Tribolium castaneum: one gene and its partner. The protein of the gene in region 1 purifies or fractionates together with the protein of each later gene. This does not show direct contact. Links are inferred from orthologs where the notes say so. Each region holds a gene or a part of one and is shown on either strand. Other genes may lie near its edges.

Evidence for each region. The genes of interacting proteins can lie anywhere in the genome.
Region 2: the proteins of neutral amino acid transporter 9 (region 1) and Lamtor1 purify together in Homo sapiens (co-immunoprecipitation; 5 studies listed by BioGRID and IntAct, with this or other methods). This does not show direct contact. The link is inferred for Tribolium castaneum from reciprocal best matches to the Homo sapiens genes SLC38A9 and LAMTOR1.

What each region holds. Positions count from the first base shown.
Region 1 is NC_087401.1:13,689,886-13,693,646, forward strand, and holds the end of neutral amino acid transporter 9, read right to left. Parts: exon of another isoform or gene 3,586-3,761; intron 1,633-3,585; coding exon 1,417-1,632; intron 1,366-1,416; coding exon 1,169-1,365; intron 1,117-1,168; coding exon 1,012-1,116; intron 958-1,011; coding exon 701-957; intron 647-700; coding exon 472-646; 3' UTR 425-471; downstream 1-424.
Region 2 is NC_087402.1:9,797,104-9,799,993, reverse strand, and holds Lamtor1 (ragulator complex protein LAMTOR1), read right to left. Parts: upstream 1,603-2,890; 5' UTR 1,464-1,602; coding exon 1,416-1,463; intron 1,373-1,415; coding exon 1,206-1,372; intron 1,158-1,205; coding exon 944-1,157; intron 899-943; coding exon 803-898; 3' UTR 626-802; downstream 1-625. Other genes in the region: protein YIPF1, read left to right, coding at 1-625. UniProt on the Homo sapiens protein: Key component of the Ragulator complex, a multiprotein complex involved in amino acid sensing and activation of mTORC1, a signaling complex promoting cell growth in response to growth factors, energy levels, and amino acids.

The sequences.
Region 1 (3,761 bases):
TTGCAGAATTTTAAAATTAAAAAAGTATTCACCAAGTATCAGACTCAACCCTGCAATTTAAAATTTTTTCTTCAAAATATTTCGAGTTTGAAAGGACTTGTGCAATTGATTGCGTAAACAAATTAAAAAAATTAGAATAGTATTTCCCAAGAAAACAAAATATTTTCGTACTTATCACCATTATTTTAAACATTTTATTTTAAGGAGTCGATGCACTTGAAGGTTTATAGTCTTGTTTACTATCAAACCAGCTGATTCAATTTCGTTGAATATTTCATCAGATTTTCTACTTCCATGTTTGATAAGATTAAACAAGGACGATCAAACACCAAGTCGAGATAAAAATATTTAGAACGTTTCAACTACGCCACTGCTATTTTATCATTCTTTCTTTTGATGATTGTCAGGACAATAAAACGAATTTTTTTGTAAAAATATTTTATTAGAATCAGTCATAACAACAATAAAAAATTATTTATCACTTATAAAGAATTGTAAGAGAAGATTAAAACTGCCGAGAATCATAACAGCGGCATGGAAGATTAGTTTCGGAGTCGTCAGTCTTCCTTCCTTCTTCAAACTGGCGATTTTTAACAAACTTGGCAACATAAAAATGTAGACTAAACCACTTAAAGCCCCTGTATATCTACAAGTATACTTTAATCAATAACCAAAATGGTAACCAAATTAACTTTCTTACCTGATTAAAGTCCCTATTCTTGGAAGAAAACACGCAAATAAAATACAAATTGCCAAAATGGCCAAATTAAGTGTCATAACCCTCGGATAGGTAAATTCCCCAAATCGGTAATTTTTGAAAATCATGTTAATGTTGGCAAACACGTCGTTACGCAACATGTACGAAATCAGGGGAAACACAGTAAACAGTTGAAACAGTAACAAAATCCTAGCTATAATTGTCAAAACGTCGTATTTGTTAAAATTATTTAAGATATTCTGAAATTAAAGTTGGTACCACTACTATTTCGGTTGGTAATAATGCGTACTCACATCCTCTATACAGAACTTCGGTAACGGAAAACAAACATAGAAAACAACTCCGATAAATAAATAAGTGAAAGTCACCAAACCGAACGCAATTGTCAAATCACGTCCCTAGAATTTTAATAAAAACCACTAAAAATTAGTTACTAAAAAAACAACATACGTTGTGTTCTTGGTGTTTGTTGTTCCTCATAATCGAAATGATAATGTTGTGAATGAAATAACTCAAAGATAACATTCCGCTGAGGGCACAGAAAGTCGGTTTCATGTAAAATTCAATCTCCCAGTCTGGCATGTTAATCCCCCAAATCCCCGCTTTGGTTGCAACGAAAACAATTAAATACAAAACGCTGAAAGTCCCTAAAACCAGCCTTTTGGCAATGCTGCCACTCCAAACAGGCAAAAACGTACCTAAACTATTGAATTTTGTGAAAAAAGTTGGGCTCTTCCAGTTCAACATCGGAAACATAATCAAGCCTAATATCACAGGTACGGTCGAATACAAGTCCCAGATTCGGGCGAATTGGTTGGTCGGCGTACTGGTGGCGATTTGGACGATTGTTTCGTTTTTGGGACACAAAACTGTGACATTCGAGACGGGAGTGTCGTCCAAATGTAGCAAAATTCCTTTTTACGACAGAAATTAATGTGGGTTTGAGAGTGATTGCGGCTTTTTGACCTTGATAAAGTTTCAAAAATTCATGTTTTAAATTAATTGAATTGAATTTCCATGATAGTCAAAGCGAAAATCTATCATTTTGTGTTTGGTTAAAAATAAACACTTCTGAACATTTAATTTAATTATTTTTGGTATTATGGAGAATCATACAATCTGTAAAGTAGGTTTTTCTTACGTACGAGTCTGAGGATTCCGTAACTGTCCTTATTTTTCATCTAGAGACAATAGTTTTTGAGATATCGGTCAAAGTTTAAAGAACTTATTAAAATGTAGTTTGTTACTTCTGAACATTTAATTTATTTATTTATGGTATTCTGGAGAATCACACCATCTGTAAAGTAAGTTTTCCTTACGTAAAATAGTCTGAGGATTCCAAAAATGTCTTTATTTTTCATCTAGAGACAATAGTTTTTGAGATATCGGTCAAAGTTTAAAGAACTTATTAAAATGTAGTTTGTTACTTCTGAACATTTAATTTATTTATTTATGGTAATCTGGAGAGTAAACCATCTGTAAAATAAGTTTTTCTGACGTAAAAAAGTCTGAGGATTCCGTAACTGTCCTTATTTTTCATCTAGAGACAATAGTTTTTGAGATATCGGTCAAAGTTTAAAGAACTTATTAAAATGTAGTTTGTTACTTCTGAACATTTAATTTATTTATTTATGGTAATCTGGAGAGTAAACTATCTGTAAAATAAGTTTTTCTGACGTAAAAAAGTCTGAGGATTCCGTAACTGTCCTTATTTTTCATCTAGAGACAATAGTTTTTGAGATATCGGTCAAAGTTTAAAGAACTTATTAAAATGTAGTTTGTTACTTCTGAACATTTAATTTATTTATTTATGGTATTCTGGAGAATCACACCATCTGTAAAGTAAGTTTTCCTTACGTAAAATAGTCTGAGGATTCCAAAAATGTCTTTATTTTTCATCTAGAGACAATAGTTTTTGAGATATCGGTCAAAGTTTAAAGAACTTATTAAAATGTAGTTTGTTACTTCTGAACATTTAATTTATTTATTTATGGTAATCTGGAGAGTAAACCATCTGTAAAATAAGTTTTTCTGACGTAAAAAAGTCTGAGGATTCCGTAACTGTCCTTATTTTTCATCTAGAGACAATAGTTTTTGAGATATCGGTCAAAGTTTAAAGAACTTATTAAAATGTAGTTTGTTACTTCTGAACATTTAATTTATTTATTTATGGTAATCTGGAGAGTAAACCATCTGTAAAATAAGTTTTTCTGACGTAAAAAAGTCTGAGGATTCCGTAACTGTCCTTATTTTTCATCTAGAGACAATAGTTTTTGAGATATCGGTCAAAGTTTAAAGAACTTATTAAAATGTAGTTTGTTACTTCTGAACATTTAATTAATTTATTTATGGTATTCTGGAGAATCACACCATCTGTAAAGTAAGTTTTTCTGACGTAAAAAAGTCTGAGGATTCCAAAAATGTCTTTATTTTTCATCTAGAGGCAATAGTTTTTGAGATATCGGTCAAAGTTTAAAGAACTTATTAAAATGTAGTTTGTTACTTCTGAACATTTAATTTATTTATTTATGGTATTCTGGAGAATCACACCATCTGTAAAGTAAGTGTTTCTTACGTAAAATAGTCTGAGGATTCCAAAACTGTCCTTATTTTTCACCTAGAGATAATAGTTTTTGAGATATCAGTCAAAGTTTAATTAAAATGTAGTTTGTTACTTTTGAACATTTAATTAATTTATTTATGTATTCTGGAGAATCACACCATCTGTAAAGTAAGTTTTTCTTACGTAAAAAAGTTTGAGGATTCCGAAATCTGTCTTTATTCTTCATCTAGAGGCAACACTTTTTGAGATATCGGTCAAAGTTTGAAGAACTGATTAAAATGTAGTTTGTTAAAAAAACAAACACTTCTGAATATTTTATTTAATTATTTTTGGTAATCTGGAGAGTCAAACCATCTGTAAAGTAAGTTTTTCTTACGTAAAATAGTCTGAGGATTCCAAAACTGTCCTTATTTTTCATCTACGGCTAACAGTTTTTGAGGTATCGGCCAAAGTTTGGTTCGTAAAGATAAAGTTTAGTTG
Region 2 (2,890 bases), on another chromosome or scaffold:
GATAATAGCCTCAGTTACGCCGAAACGGGACAGTACTTTGAAGCACCACCTTCGTCATAAACCCGACTTGTATGGGCCGTTCTGGATATCGGTCACTTTAATTTTTACGATTGCCATTAGTGGAAACATCGCTAATTATCTCCAACAGGCGAATAATCAGTACCATTGGAAATACAACTTTCGTTTAGTTTCATACGCCGCAACGGCGATTTATATTTATGTTTTGTTAATCCCTTTCGCTTTGTGGGCTTTGCTGAAGTGGAGTTCTGATGTTAATGACTTGGAGGGCCTGGAAAGTGGCACCACTCCAAGTGCGCTTGAACTGATCTGTATTTACGGTTATTCACTCTTTATCTACATCCCGGCCTCAATTCTATGGTCCATTCAGATCAATTTGTTGCAATGGTTGCTTGTTTTAATCGCTGCGTTAGTATCAGGGGCTGTTTTACTTTTCACTTTATTGCCAGCTTTGAGGCTCTCAAGACACAAGTTTTTTCTAATGATTGGGATCGCCTCCTGTCACCTGTTACTAGCGGCAGGTTTCATGTTGTACTTCTTCCACGTTCCTGCCACTTCAGTCATTGAATCCCACGATTTAAATAAAAACCATACCAAATCAATATAAATTTATTTGTAATTGTAACGCTAATAATATACAAATATAATGTAAGGTTTGATCTTATTTCAAGCGGAAGAAACTGTGACTCCAGACGAAATGATATGTCACACTTTAACACAAACACACTTCCTTGATATCAAGGAACAAGTCACGATTTCTTAATGTTTAAATAATAGAGATAGCTTAGCAGGGTATGCGGAAAGGCACAACTAAATCTTCCTTATGCTCGACTTTAATATCATTAATCGCAACAGCTGCTTTCTCCAGGGCTTCAGTAATCTGCAGGAGAGGGTTAATCGAAATTAATAAGAATTAACGAGTTACCAAGTTCCTGTCCTCTGCGCTGATTGGTTCAGACTGTAGGGTTATCTCCGTCCATGGAATATCCTCAAGAATACACGTCTTAAGCCTATTCGTTAGTTTGTTTTTTTTGCTAGCACAAACTTGTTGCACCTTGAGATTATATTGTTTCATCCTATCAACATATTCGTGCTGCTGCAAGTTGTGTGAATCTAAAGCAGCCACGTCTATTACGTTCCTGTAAACAAACAATGTACAAGAGAGTTATTGCTGATAAAGGACCAACGTTGCCGTTTCTTGTAATATCCTATTAAGTGCAGATTGTTCGTCAGTCTTTTTGGGGGCAGATTTAGAGTTATGACACAGTAAATCCTCACTATTTACTCTTTGTATGTTTGTGTTGTTTGATACGGGGTCCACAAGAAGATGAGTCCTTTCGTTCGGCTCACCGTGCTATTGTTTAAACTGTATTATTGTTGATTCAAATTGTTATTACCTGAGATGAGCCATCATCCTTGCAAAAGAAACTATAACAGCACCCCATGGTTGTAAATATAAGACGTTTAAACACAGTTTAGATCATGAAGACGAGTTTTTATCAGTGTTAGTGTTAATAATTCCCTATTTTATTTACCATCACGAAACGTCATTGTTAAATCATTGACAGGTGATCGTTCTTACCGGCCGCGCATAAATTCAACTTTTGCCGCCAGTTTTGAAATAAATAAAGTGTCCCAATGTTAGATTTGGCTCTAATAAAGCATTTAGTTTAATGAATGATACAAATATTTCACTTATAATAATTAAAACCCGGTCTACGGATATCTAAAAGTTACCGTCCAAAATTTTAGAGGAATGAATTAGAAAAAAAATGGTTGTTTTTATAACGCGTAACACATAATGAAACAAAAATAAAACAGGAAGATTGAGCATTAAATTCCCAATAGTAAAACATAAACATAATGGAAATTTTTTATAATAAACTATATAAAAAAATTCAAATCTTTACCAATTTGCACCCTGCCCCATATTTTTCAAAACGCTGAAGATATAGATATCTGGTGTCCCGAAGTTTTTTGTAGAAAATTTAATTCTCTACAGCTTTGTTCATTACATTTTTTTTGTATCTTTAAGGTGGAACCAGTGATAGGAGCGTCAACAATTACAAGATAGACAATTCAATTGTTGACCTGTCAACAGTGACGTCGACGTCAACATTTGAAGTGACGTCAACAATGTCAACTATGTCAACAATACAGAAACAATAAATTTTTACATTTTAATGACGGTATTGGACTATCAAATTAGTGTATTTGTAAGAAAACTTTAAAAAATAGAAAATGTGATATAAAAACAAGTATAAAAATAAATAAAGAAAAATAAGATTCTCAAAAAAAAGTAAGAAAAAACTAATTATTCTCTTTTTTCATCTTTTTTACGCTTCAGCCTTTATCCTCTTCGTCTTCATTCTCAAAAGAAAATGTGACCATAAAATAAGAGAGAAATGTGCCGTAAAATACAACATAACATCAAATTCTCATTGTTGACATTGTCGACCATTGTCGACGTAATTATTGACACGTCGTGTAGACAATCAAAGTCAACTCGAACGCCCATCTCTGGGTGGAACTCAAATTGATAATTCTAAGCGATAAATCTTTGAGCACCGTCGCATACTTATCAAAACGCTGGGAATACAGTTGAAGAAACAAAAAAAAGTGTAAAGAACAAAGTTGTGGAGAAATAAATTTCCTACAAAAATTTCCGACACTATATTTCTATCTTCTATAGTTTATCTCTAAAGTAACTTTCCGTTACTTGACCACCTTCAATTTTTATTTTTAACCGTATTCGCAGTCTTGAAAAATACGGGACGAAGCGCAAATTAATTTTTTTTTCATAATAAGTTTCTTAAAATAAAGTTAACCGTCAGTTTTTCTCAGTGTGTCAAGAGTACAAGGTTCAACATTT